Elephas maximus indicus: one gene and its partners. The protein of the gene in region 2 purifies or fractionates together with the protein of the main gene of each other region. This does not show direct contact. Links are inferred from orthologs where the notes say so. Each region holds a gene or a part of one and is shown on either strand. Other genes may lie near its edges.

Region 1 (6,541 bases), on a different chromosome or scaffold from region 2:
TCAACGGTCGAGTTCTTTGTCTCCCCGCCCCCACCGCCCTTCTCTGACCTGGTGGAGTATTTGCAGCTTTTTTAAAAAATAATTTTTAACTTTAAAGTAAAAAGCAGCCCGTGTCTGTAAAACTCGCAACAGCCTCCACAAGGATAACGACTGCAGTTGATTGGAAGCATGAAATAAATCCCTGCGTTGGTGATGGCACCCCAAAATTGGCCGCCATTGCTCAAGGCAAGGGTACCAGCTCTTCATTTTGAAAATTGTGAATAAAAGGAAAAGTCTCAAACGTCTCTCCTGCCCTTCCTGAACGAACTGTACGCGGGGTCACCAAACAGTTGAGAAAGAAAAGTTCTGGTTAGAAAAGATCAGCTAATAAATGAGGAGGGAACGTGAGAATTGGAAAATCGTCCTACACCCCTTCACGAAACGACGGATCCAGGCGACGGTCACGGAAAGGGACTAAGATGAGGGGGTGAAAGTGGAGCGACCAGCTCGCCCTGACCCGAGACCCCCATCAATGGCAGTGTCAGGAGGTAGCGGGGGCCACCTGTGATGGACTCGACCTGATGAGGCCTCTAGGTCTAACTGACAGTTTACAGGAAACGGGGGACAGAGAACAAATGAGAAGCAGCAGAAGCAATCACCCAAGTCCGAAATGTGTGGCATCTGTAGGACAAGTGACTCATTTCTTCTACAAATAAATGGCCCCAAAAGGGAGAGGAGTATTGATTTCAAAACCACTGTGCTCCCAGGGCTCCTAGTAGAGTTAAGAACCTAATAATCAAATGCATTTTGAAAACCTGGTTTCCATCCTAAGTCAAGCAAACCAAGTCCAATAAGAGGTTTTTTTTGAGACAACTAGGGAAATGAAACTTAATTTTTGCCAATCTGAGAATAAAACGTGTCTTATGTTTGAATGTACGTTTTCTGGGTTCCCGATGAGGTTTTCCTAAATGTGTTGGCCATTTGATTTGCTCCTATGTGAACTGGCTGTTCGTATCCTTGAAAAAAACCCAGACAACCAAAACCCATTGCCGTAATTCCGACTCACAGCGACCCTATAGGACAGAGTAGAGCTGCCCCCATAGGATTTCCGAGGAGCGGCTAGCCGACCTTTTGGTTTGCAGCCGAGCTCATAACCACTATACCACCAGGTTTCTGTTCATATCCTTACAGCATTTTTTTTTTAAATATTTGCCTTCTTTTTTTCTAAGTAAACTTTTTTATTGAGATGTTACATACATACATAATACAATGCATTTTCACAAACTGAACACAGGGTAACCAATGCTCAAATACAGAAAGGGGGCGTGAGCAGCCCCAGAAAAGCCCCCTTTATCTCTTCCCGTTTACTGTGTCCCCCCTCTCCCAAATTTAGGAGATTCATTTTGCTTGTTTTTGAACTTTATGTAAACGGAGCTTCTTTTGTTCAACATTATATTTATGAGATTCATCCATGTTGTGTATATGTCTTTTTTTCTTCTTGATTTATAGGATGTTCTTTATGTCTTCTGGAGGCTAATTCTTTGGTAAATAATATTTTAGAAAGAAATACAGGAAAATATATTATTACCTACTTAATGTTTTTTTTTAATGTTTTTTGAATGGATGCACTTTTTATTTACTTAAGTAAATCTATTTAAAGAAGAAATGGTAGATCTCTATCATCTATAACTTTTTTTTTGCAAAAATCAATTGAAATTATAACTAAAAAATGTTCATATGTAGACTACCTAAATCCTCTGGTGCACTATTTGTAGATTTTGGTTTATTGTGATTTTTTTTTTCTTTGCAGGATTTAGGGAGCTTATCCAAATTCAATCACACTCTTCACTCATTAATTCCTTCATTCAGCAAATATTTATTGCTTACCTAAAATTTTTTTTTTTTTTTTTACTCTGCAGCCAGAGGTTGTTCTAGGTTCTGCAAGTGTTTTTCTTGGGGCAGTTAAAAAAAGATAACTTTATCCTTTCCAAAATTCTAAAATAACTTCTAGTGCCTTCACCTTTTTGAGTGTGTCAATTTAAATGTTTGCCCTTAACGAAATAATGCTTATTAAAAAAAAAAAGACAGTACGATGTAACTGTCCTATTCCTAAAATAATTATAGGATTCAGAAAATACATTATTTCTGAGCACACTACAGTATAATGTGGTAATGAGAGAGTTTAAAGGTTTCTAACAGGTGCCTGGAGGAGCGCTGGTGATGCCGCTTTGGGGAGAAAGATGTGGCAGTCTGCTTCCGTAAGGATTTACAGCCTTGGAAACCTTGTGGGGCAGTTCCGTTTTGTCCTGTAGTAGGGTCGCTGTGAGTTCGAATAGACTGGCCCGTCAAGGGTTTTTTTTTGTCTTGTTTTAAATAGATACCTTCTTCTGCCTCTGGCTCCGCCCTCCCTGCACCTGGCCCCACCCCTCTGCCCGCCCCTTTCCGCACAATCCCGCCTCCAGCCCCACCCCTCAGTGACCCAGGCCGTCGTAGTTCTCGCGAGAGCTCAACCCGGAAGTCTCACGAGGTAGACGGGTGGTCTGGCAACCCACGTGGGTTGGGCTTCGGACAGTGTTGCGAGTCGGCCCACGGAATCCGAGCGCCATGGGGAAGCTGCGCCGGCGGTACAACATCAAGGGGCGCCAGCAGGCGGGCCCTGGCCCCTCGAAGGGACCCCCCGAGCCGCCTCCAGTGCAGCTGGAACTCGAGGGTAAGGGATCTCGGGACAGAGGGCTGGGAGCCACAAGATGGGTCGCCTAGGGCAACGCCGCCAGGACCCGGAGCCAGGGACCCTCCGGACTGTGCCCTACCTTCCCTACTCTGGGGCGGGGTCCTAGGGAGGAGCCCCCATTTCAGATGACCCTAAGGCAGGAGGGCAGTACAGCCTAGATTTAACAGTGAATGCGGGCCTTGCCTGGATTTCTCTCGCATAGGGTCCGACCCTATATAAAAGCATGAGAATTCGGGCAAGAAAACGAGATAATTTCATCCATTCTGGCGCCTTCGATTATAATCTCCGTGCCAGCGACCCTTAACTTTCAGACCTGTCAGCTCAGCTTCAGGACCTCGACATTTCTGGTCGGACGCCTCCTTTCTAGTAGATTCGCCTGGAGACATAGCAGAAAACAGATTTTAAAGAATCCTGCTTTCCTGAGTTTACATACTTCTGGGAGGAGAGAGGCAAAGATAAACGCTAAGCTGTATAAAATATTACCTGGCTATAAAAAAAAAAAAAAACTGGCTATACTAAGGATATAAACAGAGGAGGTGGGTGGGGGTGGGCTACAGTGTTCCATAGGGTGACCAGGCGGGATAGGGGGGTAAGGCCTCACCCAGAAAGTGTTATTTGCGTCAAACCTGGAGGAGGCCAGAGTGGCAGAAAGAACCGGCCGGATCGTGTAGGATCCTGAAGACTTTGGCTTTCACTCTGAGGGAGCTGGGAGCCATGGGAGGGTCTAGAGCAGATGAGGGACACAACCTGGACTTAGGTTTTTTTGTTAATTTTTATTGTGCTTTAAGTGAAATTTACAAATCAAGTTAGACTTAGGTTTTAACGGCATCCCTTGGGCTGCTGTGTTGAGGGAAATCCTTGGGGACAAAAGGGTGATCGGCAAGGAAGCTGTTTATCACGTTAATTCAGAACAGGAGTCAGTGGTGGAGGAGGTGAGAAGTGGTTGGGTTCAGGATGCATTTTGAAGGTGGAGTTGACAGGATTTTCTGACTGACTCGGTGCCTGTATGAGAACAGAGGAGGAGTTAGGAATGATTCCCAGGCCTCGGGCTCAGTCTCTGGAGGACGCTGGGGGTGGGGGGTAGCCTGGGAATGGCTGTGTATGTGAGTGGTTGGCATGCCCGTTAGATATCCAGGCAGGCAGCTGGTGATTCGGATGCTCAGGAGAGCCAGGTCCAGGCAGAGACAGCGGTTTGGGAGTCATCCTCATCTAGATGGTACTATCTAAAGTCGGAAGATGGGATGGCTCACTCAGGCAGTGAGTGTGGACCAAGCAGGGAAGAGGTCAACGGACTTGAGGCCTGGGGCTGTCAGGACTGGAGGACAGGAAGAGTCTGCAACAGAGATGGAGCACCTGTGAGGAGGGTGGAGAGCCTGGTGGCCCTGGGGACCAGGGAGGAGACTCACCCTCAGAGTCAGGGAGGGAGAGAAGGACCATAAGGTTTATCACTTGGCAGGGGGGTGACCTCGACAGGAGCAGTTTCAGAGGAGAGTTGAGGCAAAGCTGGATGGAGTGGGTTCAAGGACAAGGACGTCTTGCAGGCTCCTGAAACTGCACGTGTACTAAATTGAACTCATCTAGCAGCTTGAATGTAAGCTCCTGAAGGGCCTGGCAGAGTAACCCGCTGCCATTGAGTTATTTCTGTAGCAACCCTGTAGGACAGGGTACAATTGCCGCATAGGGTTTCCAAGGATGTAATCTTTATGGAAGCAGGCTGCCTCAGAGCAGCTGGTGGGTTTGAACTGCTGACCATTTGGTTAGCAGCCAAGAGCTTTAACCACTGCACCACCAGGGCTCCTCCTGGCAGGTTAGGCATTAGGAAAGAATGGGCCCAGATTCTGGAGACGGAGGGAGGGAAGGGGAGCCAGGGCTGCTGGAGAAGCCTGTTGTCCTCAATCCACCAGTGTGTGCTCTGAGGTTCCACATTCTGGTTCAACCTGGGTGGCAGCGAGGGCGCCAGAAAGGCAGCAGGGTGGGATTCCAGTGGCCTGAATTCCCTTCTTGGAAGTGGCGCAGATCGGCTGGGAGTTGAGGCTGATTGACTCTCTGTGCCTGTGTTTCTTTATCTGTAAAACATGACCAATGGTAATAGCTGTCCTACCTGTTCTTAGAGTTTTGGAATTCTGGGGAAACATGTTTATGGCTGAAGTAAGGATGCTTTGAAAAGTGAAGAAGGTGGAGGTGTGGCATGTCCCATGACGGACATCAACCATTGTAGGAACAGCAACAGCTCAGAGCATGAGAGGGTCCCACCAAGAAGGCAGAAGACACCGGGGTGACATTTTTAACTGGGTGATCAGAGCAGAGGGGCTGAGGCCTCTTGTACTCAAAAGATTTGGGAGAAGTTGTTTCTAACATCAAAATGAGACATCTGTGTTTATCCTCGCCTTCCTCAAAGGCCAGTGGGATCTTTCAGCAACATAAGTCAGATTGCACTCCTGCTTAAAACCTTCTAATGAATTTCTGCACATATAGGATAAAATCCTGCCTCCAGCCCTATGTGATCCTGCTGCCTCCGCTCCACTTTGACCTTCTCTGTCCCCGTGGAGCCCCAGAGTGGTGCAGTGGTTAAGTGCTAGGCCACTGATTAAAAGGTTGGCAGTTCGAGTCCACCCAGAGGTACCTTGGAAGAAAGGCCTGGTGATCTCCTTCTGAAAAACCAGCCACTGAAAACCCTATGGAGCTCAGTTCTACTCTGACACACGAGAGGTCACCATGAGTTGGAGTCAACTCTGTGGCAACTGGTTTTGGTTTTTCCTATTCCTATTCCCCCCCGCCCTTTCTGTCTGTTGCACTTATACCAGCATCCTTGCTGTTAACTGAGACACACTAAGCTTCCTCCTGCCCCAGGCCTACACCTGTTGGTTCTGTGTGTACAGGGGTTTACAGATGGGGCAGGAGGGCAGCTGGCAGTGACACCATGGTATGTGTGCATCATAAGTGTCTGGCCTCCGGGGCTGTGGATGAGCCAAGCATATCTTTTCAGATAAGGGGACGTTGAAAGGCATTGATGCAAGCAATGCACTCGTTCTTCTGGGGAAGAAGAAGAAGAAAACCAAAGCCCCTCCCCTATCGAAGAAGGAGAAGAAACCTCTGACCAAGAAAGAGAAGAAAATGCTGCAGAAAATCTTAGAACAGAAGGAAAAAAAGAGCCAGGTACGCCCCACTCTCTGAGGGCTGGAGAGTGGGGAGAGATGTGGGGTCTGCATCCCACAGTGCCATCCAGTAGAACATTCTAGAATAAAGGAAATGTTCTATGTCTGCCTGCATGTGGCTACTGAGTATTTGAAATGTGGCCAGTGTGACTGAGAAATTGAAATTTTTTATTTTATTTAATTTTAATAAATTTAAATTCGGATAGCTATATGTGGCCGCAGTTACTGTACTGGACACACAGTTCTAGAGTGTTCAAACTCTTCCGGCAGGGAGCTCCTTGGGTCTCAGTCAATCTAGCATGTGTCCAGGTATGCTGAGGCCCTGATGTTAGTTTGTTAGCTGGGGAGTACGTAGATCAATGCTCTCTTTTTTTTTTTTTTTTAATTTTTGTTATTCTTGTTGAGAATATACACAGCAGAACATAAACCAATTCAACGATTTCTACATGTACAATTCAGTGACATTGATTATACTCTTCGGTTGTACCACGGTTCTCACACTCATTTTCCAACTTGTTCCTCCCCTATGAACATAAACTCACTGACCCCTTAGGTTCCCTTCTAGTCTTTTGAATTGGCTGTTGTCAGTTTGATCCCACGGCGGTTCTTAAAACAGCACAATGCTCAGACATTCTTTCTTAATTAAACTAAGCTATTTTGTTTTTAAACTTTTTAG
Region 2 (6,541 bases):
TGAAGGGAGCAAAGATGGAGCCCCAAAGACGAGTCTCTCGAGGCCGGATCACAAGAGCGCACACTGCGCACCAGTGATGAAACACAACGTTGGACCCCAAACGGGGAGGTGATGGATGGGGATAGGTGCGTCACTGATTCAGGGTGTCAGGCGGAGAGCCTCACAGCAGCCATCACAGGGCCACAGGGAGATTATGGCCGCTAGGTCACAGAGGGCTCGTTCCAGCCTGGATGGGAAGGCACAGTCTCACAGAGGAGGTCCATTGACGCCTGGATGGTAGAAGGCACAGAAGTCTTCATATCGACAATGGCCCTTTTTGGCAAAGTGTCGGCAGACGGGGCGGTCGGATTTGTCTGTGAACGAGTGAAAATTGGGCAGTTTAAAACCTGAGTAGGAAAAGAAACAAATGTCACAAAAAGCAGAGAGAGAGAGAGAGGAAGGTCAGATTTCCTACTCCTTATCGTTTCCGGGTATTTTGGAATGGTAGTCTTTATGCTGGGAGAAGAAACATTCAGGACTTTTACTTCAAGCAAAAAAAAGAACAGCCTAAAGGAGAAGAGTCATGGATATTCTCTGTACAGGCTAAAAATAATGGAGCTCACCTTCCGTAACCTGTGGTCCATCTTTGGGAGGGCAGGTATTCTTGATGAGAGACCAGCTTTTGAGCCTTCGAGGGTTTCTTTGTTCTTTGTGAAAGCCTCCCCTGGAGGGACCCCCATGGCCTGGCCCAGGAAAAGGAGGTTCAGCATTGACTCCCCACCAACCATGACCATATGGGCCAAATCTGGGACCTAGGCCTCCCCGCATTGGCCCTCTACCCCGGGGAGGAGGTGGGAGACTCAGCAGTGGTGGAATCAATGGTCCCCTTGATCCTGGAGGACCTCTATGAAGAGCTGCAAAGAGAAACAAAGAGAGGAAGACACAGAAAGGTGATCAATAGCCAGCTTAATCCCGATACAGAAATCCTGATCTTATTTTTACTTTTTATTGAAGTACAATATACATACAGAATACACCAGATTTAAGTATATAACTCAATTATCACAAAGTAAACACACCTGTTACCACCACCCAGGTGAAGAAATAGAACCTTATTAACACTTCATAAGTCCCCCCATGTGCCCCTGCCCCTTACTATCCCGCCCTCCTCCCAAAGATAACCACTATCCTGACTTCTAACACCATAGGTTAGTTTTTGCCTGTTTTTGAACTTCGCATAAATGGAATCATACAGTCTGCATTCTTTTGTGTCTGGCTTCTTTCGCTCAACATCATGTTTGTGAGATTCATCCAGGTTGGTTGCCTGTAGCAGTAGTTCGTTCATTTTCATTGCAGTGTAGTATCCCATTGCATGCATATACAACAATTTATTTATCCATTCTACTGGTGATGGACATGTGGGTGGTTTCCAGTTTGGGGCTATAACGAAAAATGCTGCTGTGAACATTTTTATACATGTCTTTGTCACACATTATGTATGCATTTCTGTTGAGTATATACGTAGTAGAGGAACTGCTGGGCCACAGAGTACATGTATGTTCAAGTTTAATAGCTAATGTCAATTTTTTTCAGTGTGGTTGTACCAATTTGTACTCCCACTGGCAGTTGTTCCATATCTTTGACAACACTTGCTATTGCCAGTCTTTCATTTTAGTCATCTGGCGAGTGTGAAAAGTGGTGTTGTTTATAACTTGCATTCATTTGATGACTAATGTTGAGTATTTATTCACATGTTATTGGCCAGTCAGATCTCCTCTTTTCTGATGGTGCCTGTTCTCATCTTTTGCCATTTCTCTAACAGACTGTCTGGAAGAGCTCTTTAATACAAGCTCCACATTGATTACATACATTGCACACATCTTCTCTCACTCTATCACTTCCTTTTGAGTTTTTTTGTTAGTTGCCCTCAAGTTGATTCCGATTTATGGCAACCCCATATATGCAGAGTAGAACTGCTTCCTAGGGTTTTCAAGGCTGTGATCCTTGGAAGCAGACTGCCAGGCCTATCTTCCAAGGCCCCACGGGTGGGTTGGAACTGCCAATCTTTCGGCCAGTAGTCGAGCACTTAACTGTTTGTGCCACCCAGGGACTCCTTTGCGCTCTTAAATAAACAGAAGTTTATATTTTTTAGCATAGTTCAATTTAGTGATCTTTTCTCTACGGTTAGTGTGTGTGTTTCTTGGTGGTAAGAACTTTTTTCTAGAATTATTCTTCTACTTTTCACACTTATAGATCTACAGTCCACTTGGAATTGATTTTTGTACCCAGTATGATTAAGAGTTTGTTTTTTCCCACACGAACATACAATTGACCCAGCACCATTTACTGAAAAGACCACCTTTCTAATGCCACCTTCATCATAATACATATACGTGTAGGCTTGTTTCTGAGCTCTGTGCTGTTCTATTGACTTATAGGTCTACCACCGTGCTAATACCATACTGTTATAATTAAGTTTTGATATTCAGAGTAAGGCCTCTATTTTATTCTTCAAGACTATCTTGGCAGTTTATCACTCTGACATGTAGGTGGAATCTTTATCTCCACAAGAAAATGATAGAATTCTGACTGGGAATGCATTGAAACTATGGATCAATTTGGGAAGAAATGACATTTTTACAACATTGAGTTTCCACTCTGTGACTATCAACATCTCTCCATTTACTTAGGCACAGAAGCACTGGTCTTTTGATTTAAGGTCCCGCCTGGGTTTTACTCCCTCCCTTGCTCCCTTCTCTAGGATTTAATCCAAGGTTCAGGGCCCCTTCCTTCTCACCTGACTTGGGGTCACCAGGCTTTCCATTGGCCATGGGGGGAGGGCCCAGAAGGCTGGGTGGTCCTGAGAGTAGACATGAAAATATGGTCACTAGAGTGGACTAAATGACTGAGTTCTTACGTGTGTTTTTCTTCTATTACACATTTCTTAGTCCAACCAACAAAGCCAAATATATTCTCAGCCATGTTGCCCAGTTCTCACTCCACTTATCTGCCCTTTCTCTGCAAACCTGTGTCAGGGTTTGCAAAAAGTAGAGACTCAGCCCTGGGGAGAATAATGTGGGAAGGATACTGACAACTTTCTATTTTTCTTACAGTGTTGATATTCAAAACATCCCAGGTGATTCTCCTTCCCATCCCTCCCCCCCCAGAGAGCAGCTGAGAAAAGGCTGCACTTTCACCTTTCCTGTGAAAATCTGATCACAAATCATCCTAGTCACCCCAATCTGCAACCTCTCTTCGGCTCCTCTCCCCTGCCGTTCTGCGGCTGCGCGCACGAGCTCTTTATCCTCTCCTCCCTGCCTTCTCTAAAAAGGTTTGGGGGTCAGATTAAGGTTGAAAGTCCAAATAAGAGAACTCCACGTTCAGGGCTTCATCCCAGATAGGCCCCCTCTCCCAGCGCGTGCACCCTTCCTTCTTCCATTAGAGGATCTCCTCCCCACCTTGTCAGCCCCTAGCCCCTCGCCAGGACGGGCTGACAGGCAGGTGCACCTCCCGGGCTCCTCACCGATGGGACTTCTGTCGTCCTCGTCTCCAGTCTCTCCCGGCTCTGGCAGTGGGGGCTGCGGCGGTGGAAGCTGCTGCTGCTGATTCTGCTTCTTTCGTTTTGGCATCGTGGCTGCGGGAATGGCTGCAGTAGAATTTGGAGGGCAGTGAGGAAGGGGCAAGCTGGGATTCTGTTTCCGCTTCCGGGGGGACGGTGGACAGTGAGGCTGAGACTCCCGCCATTTCACTTCCGGAAGGCTGCGGGGAGTCTCTGCTGCAGCCGCATCCTCAGGTCTTTGCCAGGCATGGACGCGATGTAGAACCTTCTCTTTGCTGCGTTTTTATAGAGGCTTAAAAAATATTCTATTCTTCCTCGCCGCAGAGAAAACACCACAACCCGTTCCTCACAGTGTGCCATATAGTCGAGAGGGTCTTGGGCCAGGAGGCCTGAGAAGCGAGGGCTGTCGCATCCTAAGATCGCCACATCCGGTACCCGGTTACCATGGTAACAGCTGCAGGCACAACTTCGTGCCCTCCGACCTCTCTCCGAAAGTCTTTATCCCATGTAGGTTTTCCTCCTCGCCCGCGCTTATACATAAATCTGTAAACTCGCTCCTTGTCATCATTCTCACAAAGAATTTGGGTCCCAGCAGAGCAGCGCCCGAGATTCTTCAGATCGCCACCTGCCCTTCAGGACCTCTGCCCCGGCCCCTAGCTGTAGCCCAGCAACCTGTATTCACTCCTGGGACGCGCCGTCTCGGCTCTCCACTAAGGTCAAGCCTCCGGGTTGGTAAGGGAGCTTCTATGTGTCCCCGCCCCCTTCTCCCCTGGGTGGTAGGGCCCGCCCTCCGCTCCGCCTCCCCCTCCAGGTGAGTGGTAGCTTCTCGCCGGCCGCGCAAGGTAGTGATGACATACGTCTCCCCTCCTCCGATAGCGAGTTGGTAGCGTCCGTGACGAAGTTAGCCCGATCCTCCCACGCGCACCTCTTTCCTTGCCGCCGCTGCGCCCTCTCGGTGCGACCGGCTCTCATGCGCGGGTAGGCCACGCGGCATCATCCTCTCGCCACGCTCCTGGAGGGAAGTGACTGTATTTGCCCTGTCCGCCTTTCAGTCAGGCCGACGCGGTGAGTGGCCCGGCCCGCCCGCTGACGTCACCTGCTAGCCCCGCCCCTTCTAGGGTCCCGGGGCCCTGCGGCGGGGGCTGCCGGGGGGGAGTCAGTTGAGGCGGAGGGAGCTCGGCGGAGGGCGGGCCAGGTGTCTGGTCCGGGCCATGCCGAGGAAGAAGCCCTTCAGCGTGAAGCAGAAGAAGAAGCAGTTGCAGGACAAGCGAGAGCGGAAGCGAGGTCAGCGAGGGAGGAGGGGGCGGGGCTCGGGCTCCCGCACATCTGGAGGGAGAGGTGTGCCCTCCGCACCTCTGGGGGGCGTGGGAGGGGGGGAGCGCGCGACGACCCGCGCCGGCGATCGCAGAGGAGATTCCTCCACCTTAGCCCCCCGACATCTGGAAGGGATGGGGAAGGAGAGGGAGTTGGGGGAGGGGAATCCCTTCAGCTCGTACGGGGCGCCATCCCCGCAGCTCTCTGGAGGAGGGGTGAGTCCCCTCACGCAATTCCGGGGGGGTCCTGGGCCGACTGACTAGAAGGGCCCGGCCTCGAAAGAGGTGCGGTGGGGTGAGGAGGAGCCAGGCCGCCTGGGGAGGGGGATCTTATGGCCCCTGAGAACCGGCCGGCGCTGGCGTCACCGGCCCCTCCCAGCAGGGCTTCAAGATGGGCTGCGCTCCAGTTCCAACAGCCGCAGCGGGAGCCGGGAGCGGCGAGAGGAGCAAACCGATACCTCGGACGGGGAGTCTGTGACCCATCATATCCGCAGGCTCAACCAGCAGCCTTCCCAGGGGCTGGGCCCGCGAGGCTACGACCCAAATCGGTGAGGGTGGGCGGAGGGAGGGGGTGCCGGTCGGGGCCTCCCCGCCTACCCGGAAATCAGAACGCCAGGGGAAAGCGGGCTGCTGCTGGTGGAGGCTTGAAAGTGGAGTAGGTGGGGCTGGGATGCCTCTAGCGGTCCACAGTCATCTCTTTTAGAGGGTGGAGAGATTTTGGCTGTAGGAGGGTGAGGCTTAGGGGAAGGCCGAATATCCGTGAAAGAGGGACTTGGAGGAAGGCAAACCAAGAGAGGAAATTTGAACAAGTGTGGAGGGAAGGCTTTGAGAAGGTGCTGGTCCAAGAGGAGAGAAGATGGAGTTTGTGGCCACAGGATTGCACTGGATGCCTGGCCCCTGTCTCCTTAGATACCGGCTGCATTTTGAGCGGGACAGCAGGGAGGAGGTGGAGAGGAGAAAGAGAGCAGCCCGAGAACAAGTGCTACAGCCTGTCAGTGCCGAGGTGCTGGAGCTGGACATCAAGGAGGTCTATCAGCCTGGCTCAGGTGAGGGAGAGGTCAACACCAGGATATTTGGCACAGGGAGGGAGTTTGGAAGGGCCAGAGCTGACTGAGGAAGGCAGGGTTTGGGATGCACCCTTGAGTCCTGAAACTATCTTCATACTTGGACTTTTTTTGGTTTCCAAGTCCTGGACTTTCCCCGACGTCCTCCTTGGAGTTATGAGATGTCTAAGGAGCAACTCATGAGTCAGGAGGAACGGAGTTTCCAGGAGTATCTTGGGAAGATTCATGGGGCTTACACCTCTGAGAAACTCAGCTACTTTGAGCACAATCTGGAGGTGAGACTAGAGTTGGGTGTAGAGACCCATGGTCAAGTTGATTTGGGTGGGGGGGTGCTCTGGACTCAGGTTCTCTTCTACCATCTCTTGTCTCTTCAGACATGGAGGCAGCTGTGGCGAGTGTTAGAGATGTCTGACATTGTCTTGCTCATCACTGATATCCGACATCCAGTGAGTACTGGGAGGGGGGGAGGGTGGAGAGTGAAGGTAGGCCAGGGGGAGGAAGGTTCTTATGGAATAAAGGTCAGAGGCAGGAGTTGGGAGACAGCCATCTCATTTCATTTCTAGCCTCTCTATCCTGCGCCGATGTCTGCAGTCAGGGACTCAGTTCTTTATTCATCTGTTGTCATA
Region 3 (6,541 bases), on a different chromosome or scaffold from region 2:
CTGCAGGGAGAAAAAGGCAGGAGGAGGTTGCAGAGTGGCCTGCTAGGACCTCCCTACTGCCCTGGGAGCCTCCCAGGGCTTCTCACCAGTAGGTGGCTGTCGGTCTTTGGACTCTGCATGAGTGAGTGAAGAACTTCTGGAGGCGACTTGCAGTCTGGGGACAACTGGAAAGGAGTACAAGCCCAGAGGAATCCCTGGAGGAAGAGGACAAATCACACAACTTAAAGTCTCTGAGGGGTGCACCCACAAAAAAGGAGACCCCTAGAAAGGGGCACTGACCTGCTGAAGGCCAAACAGTAACACCAGAACTATAATAACCCAGATATCCTCCTGAGGAACAGGTAAGGCTTCCCCTTGTTTGATAACAAGACTGTGTACCTCAATGTTTTTCTCATTTTGCCCTGGCCACCAGGGAGCTCAGAGCCAAATGTCATAAAAATTACCACCATTTGCTGAGTGTCTAAGGAGCCATGGTGGTGCAATGGTTAAGCGCTAGGCTGCTTAATGAGAGGTTGGTAGTTCGAACCCACCCAGCAGTTCTGTGGGAGAAAGACATAGTGACCTGCTTCTGTAAAAATGACAGCCTAGAAAACCCTATGGAGCAGTTTTACTCTGTCACATGGGGTCACGGCTGAGTGTCTGCCACATGCCAGATACTGTACTAGGAATTTTACATGTTAGGTCTTTTTTTCTTTTTATTGTGATGAAAATAGACACACTACAACATTTGCCAACACAACTTCCATATTTACAATTCGATGACATTGATTATATTTTTTAGGTTGGGCCACCATTATCACTACCCTTTTCCAAAATATTCCACCACCATTAACATAAACCCAGTGCCGCCCAAACAAAAACTCCCCCTTCCACCCTCTTCTCACTCTTGGTAACCGTTAAAAATCTTTGGCTTCTATATATTTGCTTATTTCATATAAGTGGGATCAGTCCTTTCGCAACTGACTTATTTCGCTCAGCATAATGTTTTCAAGGTTCATTTGTTGTGACATGCAGCAGGATTTCATTTCTCTTTAAGGCTGCATAATATTCCATTGTGTGTATATACCACATTTTGTTTATCAGTCGATCTGCTGATGGACATTTTGGTTGTTTCTACTTTTGGCTATTGTGAAAACTGCTGCAGTGAACACTGGTATACAGATATCTGTATGCATTCTTGCCTTCACTTCTTTTGGGTATATACTGAGGACTGGGATTGATGGGTCTATATATTAGCTCTTAAATAATCAAATTCTTCACAAGCCCATGAGTTTGTGGACTTGCAGAAAGATTTCATCTCAAGTATCATCTCTAGTTGACGGTAGCTGGAGGAAAGAGTATCATGGATTGACCAACAATGCCTGCCATGGGTATGGCATTGGGAAAATGCCTGCACAGTGAGCATGAGGTAGGTATTATTATCTCTGTTTTACAGTTAAGGGAACTGAGGTGAGGCTCAGGGAGGTTCTGTTCTTTGCCCAGGTTCACACAGTTTGTAAATAAAACAGTTGGGATTTGAACCCAAGATCTGTCGGTTTCCTGCTCTTTTTCATAGCCCTCACATCGTACCTCTGTCATCCCAAACCTTTGTCTGGAAATTGTCTTTGCTTATTCCCAAGCATCTGTCTCCTCGCCCCAGGTGGCTCCTTGTCCTCCTACCTTTTTTTTTTTTTAGGGTTTCCTGGCCTCCTGCCTTCTTATTTTGGAAACCCTGGTGGTGTAGTGGTTAAGCGCTATGGCTTCTAACCAAAAGGTTGGCAGTTTGAATACACCCGGCGCTCCTTGGAAACCCTATGGGGTAGTTCTACTGTATCCTATAGGGTCTCTATGAGTCAGAATCGACTCAGCGGCAATGGGTTTGCTTTTTATTTTGTTTCTACCTTCTTATTACCCCCTACCACTTACTTCCCAGGTGCTCGGACAATCTGGAGCTCCCGCTCCCCGAGCCCCAGTGACTGGCTTAGCTCTGGCAGCACTGAGAGCAGTGTCAGGTCTCCTGGTTTCCCTGGGAAAGAAGAAGGATAATTACAGGTTGCTCCCAGAGGCCATAGCTAGATGTCACACCCCCTTTCACAGCATTCCCTTCCCCTGCCCTCTATCCCTACCTGTTACTGGCAGCCCCTGTGGCTTGTTGACTGTCACTAGAGGTCCTGAAATACATGATGTTACATGACCACTGGCAGAAGCAAAAGCAACAGTTAACCTTTGTGCAACCCTTAGTTTACAAAGCACTTTCTCATGTATGTTAGCATGTGAGCTCAATGACAACTCTCAGTCAAGAGGTATCAACCCCATCCTAAACTGAACTTCTCTCTGTCCCTCAAATATGCCATTTGAGGCCACCTCAGGGCCTTTGCACTTGCCATTTCCTCTGCCCCAGATTTTTACATGTCTGGCTCCTACTATATCATCTTGGCTCATATATTACCACCACAAAGAGGCCTGAAGCCCCAATCTAATGTTTGCTCCTTCCTCCCCAGCCCCTCACCATCACAACACCCTGTTTTAGTTTATTCATAGCACTGATCGCCGTTAAGTAACTTGTTCATTTATTTTCTGGTTAATCCATTTCTCCTGCTAGAATGTTGGCTCCCTGGGGGCAGAAACCATATTTATCTTGTTCAGCACTGTACAGCCAGTGCTCAGACCATAGCAGGTGCTCAAAAATAGTAGTTAAGAAAATCAATAAATCACTGAATGGAGAAGCTGAGGCTCAGAGGAATTAAGTGATTTTCCTAAAGCCACATAGCAAGCTGGTATAGAGCCTAGATATCTGACTCCAAAGCCTGGGTTTTGTCTGTCGATAAAAAATAATTTATTACTATAGAAATTCCCATAACTGAGTCCTAGTAAGTGCAAGGCTCTCTAGTTATTTGCATCCCCTCCACACACCCACTCCCTACACACACACACCCCTATCCCAAGATGATGAAGTTCAGAGAGGTTACGTTGCTCGCCTTAGCTCGTGCTACTAGTGGAAGGCAGAACTGGGATTTGAGCGCAGGGCTTCTCGAACCCAGCCAGCCTCCTAGAAGGCTCGAAGCCGCAGGCTCCCCTCGCGGGTCTCTGTGCAGCTGTGCTTATCACCCCTCACCTTTCTGATCCACCACGGCTGCTGTCAGCACATCAACCAGCTCCTCGCGACTGAGGTCCTCTGGCCGTAGTAGCCCGGGACATGGTTGGTCCCTGCGGGGTCCCGACCGTTTACTGGAGCCTTGAGGTTGCAGCTGATGCCTGGAAAGGATGAGAGAAGCAACCGGTGGATGTTTCGCGGTGCCGCATTCCTATCTCCACACACCTCTCTCCAAACCCTGCCTCCTCTTCAGAATGCCTGGGCTGAGCTTCCCGAAAAGTCTGGTTCAACTGGCCCCATTTTATAGAGGAGAGAACTGAGACTCAGGCCGAATGATTAGCTTAGGGGCACACAGCAGAGCCGGCATTAGAGTCCATGTCTATCTAGCTCCAGATCCTGCACAGAGCCGCCCCTGCCTCTCTCCGACACGAGGGTAGAGCGTAATCACCCAGCCTTGGTGCCAAAGCCTGCGGCCGCGAGCGCTGCACGGACCCCAGGGCCCCGCCGCCAGCCAACCCAGCTCCGGCCCCAAATACAGCAGCCCACCATCTCCGCTGCGAAGACAGTGCGCATGTGTGTCCAGAAGGACAGCCCCACACACCTGCAGTGCGCTGATTGGTCAGATTGGCTGTCAATCGGAATAAGCGAGGAGACTGCGCTCAGAACCGTGAGGAGGCGGAGCTTTGCCTCTGCCGGTCCGCCCACCAACCCACTACTGTCGAGTCGGTAGAAGGAAATAAATAAATCCGTACTTTGTGCTTTCGGGAAAACTGAGGCGCACGGCGGGACCAAAACTGGGACGAAAGTTCAAGGTTCTCTGATCATCATTCCAACTTTTAGGAGCTTCCTGGCCTCAGAAAAACACCACTGAAGCACAATTTCGTAAGGCAAATTGGCAAAAAAAAAATCCCACATCCTTTGGTCCAGTAAACCTGTCCCTAGAACACAGCCTGTTGCATAATCCAAACGGAGAAAAAGGCCAAAAAGGCAGAAAGACATTAACTACAGCGTTACTTGTCAAAGCAAAATAAAACAAATTTCAAAACTAGGAAACAAATTGTCCAGTGGTGAAATCTATTAACCCCCCTTCTCCCCCCCCCAAAAAACATTGCCTTTCAGTCGATTCCGACTCATAGCGACCCTATAGGACAGAGTAGAACTGCCCCATAGAGTTTCCCAGGAGCGTCTGGTGGAGTCGAACTGCCGACCTTTTGGTTAGCAGCCTAGCTCTTAACCACTACGCCACCAGGGTTTCCAAAATAAATTTAATACATAAGTCAGTCAATATTTTTTTAATGCTAACTCTATGCCAGGGGCCCTGGTGGCAAAATGGTTAAGTGCTGGGCTGCTAACTGAAAGGTTGGTGGTTTGAACCCACCCAGTGGAACCCACTGCAGCAACTCTGAAGGAGAAAGACCTGGCAACTGCTTCCATACAGATTACAAGAAAACCCTACAGGGCAGTTCCACTCACATTAGGTTGCTATTAGTGGAAATCAACTGCAGGGTACCTAACAACAACAACAAACTCTATGCTGGTTGCAAGACCCTTGCAATCTCTGTGCTGAAAACACAGATCCACAAAACTCAGGCCCTGCCTACAGAAGGTCATTGAGTTGACAGAAGATTGGGGTCATAGCATTACAATTCACCTTGCTAAACGCTGTGGAGACGCTGAGAGAAGTGCGATGATGGGCAGAGGTGAAATCACAGATCAGAGAAAGCTTCCAAGCAAAGGGCCATCTGAGATGACTTGTGAAGAACTAACAAAAATCCACCAGGAGGAAAAGGTGTGGGAGGGGGAGAAGAAAGGGGTAAGCAGAGGGAGGGAGCAATGAGGAGAAATGAGAAGATAAGTGAAAAAAAGCAAAGTACATCATGGGCTCTATACTGTGATTGTTATTGTTGGGAGGTGCCATCAAGTTGGTTCCAACTCATAGAGACCCTATGTACAATAGAATGAAACACTGCCTGGTCCTGTGCCATACTCAAAATCACTCCTCTGTTTGAGTCCATTGTTACAGCCACTGTGTTAATCCATCTTGTTGAAGATCTTCCTCTTTTTTGATGACCCTCTACCTTACCAAGCATGATGTTCTTCTCCAGGGACTGGTCCCTCCTGGTAACATGTCCAAAGCACATAAGATGAAGTCTCGCTATCCTTGCTTCCAAGGAGCATTCTGGGTGTATTTCTTCCAAGACAGACTAGTTTGTTCTTTTGGTAATCCATAGTATTTTCAATATTCACCAATACTATAATTAAAAAAAAAAAAATACCACTGCCGTCGAGTCAATTCTGACTCATAGCGACCCTATAGTTCAAAGGCATCAATTTTTCAGTCTTCCTTATTCATTGTCCAGCTTTCACATGCGTATGAGGCGATTGAAAATACCATGGCTTGGGTCAGGCACACTTTAATCCTCAAAGCGACATCTTTGCTTTTTAACATTCAAAGAAGTCTTTTCCAGCAGATTTGCCCAATGCAATGTGTCATTTGATTTTTTGACTGCTGCTTCCATGGGTGTTGATTGTGAATCCAAGTAAAATGATTCACATTTTCTTTTCTCCATTTATCATGATGTTGCTTATTGGTCTAGTTGTGAGGATTTTTGTTTTATGTTGATATGTAATTCATACTGAAGGCTGTAGTCTTTGATTTTCATCAGTAAGTGCTCCCAGTCCTCTTTACTTTTAGAAAGAAAGGTTGTGTCATCTGCATATCACAGGTTGTTAATAAGTTTTCATCCAATCTTGATGCTGCGTTCTTCTTCATTTGAAGGAGCTTGGGACAAATGCCAAGCTTCCACCCCCACCCTAACCTAAATCATCGATCAGTAACTTCACATGAGGGACAGGCAGACCACGGCTTCAGCAAGGGTTGATGGGAATACCTTCTGTGCTGGGGAAACATTGGGGCTTCCTGCAAGAAGGCCAGCCCATGGAGGCAGCCTGACCCTGAGCCAGGCCTCCAGCAAAAACTGCAAGAGCAGGAGAGCCCAGAATAGCAAGTGCTTCTCTACCAGCTTTGGCAGCTCCTTCCACACAGAGCTGCAGGATTCTGGGTCAGCTGCCTGCACTAAGTCTCCAGACTCTAGCTTTGATAACCTAGGTTTGTCTAAAAAAAAAAATCAAACCAAACTTGTTGCCATCGAGTGGATTCCAACTCACGGCAACTCTATAGGACAGAGTATAACTCCCCCATAGAGTTTCCAAGGAGCGCCTGGTAGATTCAAACTGCTGACCTTTTGGTTAGCAGTCATAGCACTTAACTACTACCCACCCTTTGTCTTAATATTTAGTAAACCCAAATAAGCTTTATAGTAAAAACCAAAATCAAACCCATTGCTGTCGAGTGGATTCTGACTCATAACAACCCTAAAGGACAGTAGAACTGCCCCCATATGGTTTCCAAGTCTGTAATCTTTATGGAAGCAGACTGCCACATCTTTCTCTTTGGAGCCGCTAGTG

Evidence for each region.
Region 1: the proteins of PRR3 (region 2) and DHX37 purify together in Homo sapiens (co-immunoprecipitation; 3 studies listed by BioGRID and IntAct, with this or other methods). This does not show direct contact. The link is inferred for Elephas maximus indicus from reciprocal best matches to the Homo sapiens genes PRR3 and DHX37.
Region 3: the proteins of PRR3 (region 2) and RPUSD3 purify together in Homo sapiens (co-immunoprecipitation; 3 studies listed by BioGRID and IntAct, with this or other methods). This does not show direct contact. The link is inferred for Elephas maximus indicus from reciprocal best matches to the Homo sapiens genes PRR3 and RPUSD3.

Annotation. Positions count from the first base shown.
Region 1 is NC_064840.1:5,653,492-5,660,032, forward strand, and holds the start of DHX37 (probable ATP-dependent RNA helicase DHX37), read left to right. Parts: upstream 1-2,496; 5' UTR 2,497-2,583; coding exon 2,584-2,689; intron 2,690-5,696; coding exon 5,697-5,866; intron 5,867-6,541. UniProt on the Homo sapiens protein: ATP-binding RNA helicase that plays a role in maturation of the small ribosomal subunit in ribosome biogenesis. Required for the release of the U3 snoRNP from pre-ribosomal particles.
Region 2 is NC_064819.1:90,904,333-90,910,873, reverse strand, and holds the start of PRR3 (proline-rich protein 3), read right to left. Parts: upstream 3,806-6,541; 5' UTR 3,609-3,805; coding exon 3,503-3,608; intron 2,840-3,502; coding exon 2,777-2,839; intron 894-2,776; coding exon 603-893; intron 354-602; coding exon 247-353; 3' UTR 1-246. Other genes in the region: GNL1 (guanine nucleotide-binding protein-like 1), read left to right, coding at 4,750-4,822, 5,234-5,399, 5,761-5,897, 6,039-6,190, 6,290-6,361.
Region 3 is NC_064838.1:34,812,072-34,818,612, forward strand, and holds the start of RPUSD3 (mitochondrial mRNA pseudouridine synthase RPUSD3), read right to left. Parts: upstream 3,647-6,541; coding exon 3,522-3,646; intron 3,235-3,521; coding exon 3,095-3,234; intron 2,151-3,094; coding exon 2,106-2,150; intron 2,006-2,105; coding exon 1,906-2,005; intron 195-1,905; coding exon 87-194; intron 1-86. UniProt on the Homo sapiens protein: Catalyzes uridine to pseudouridine isomerization (pseudouridylation) of specific mitochondrial mRNAs (mt-mRNAs), a post-transcriptional modification necessary for their translation.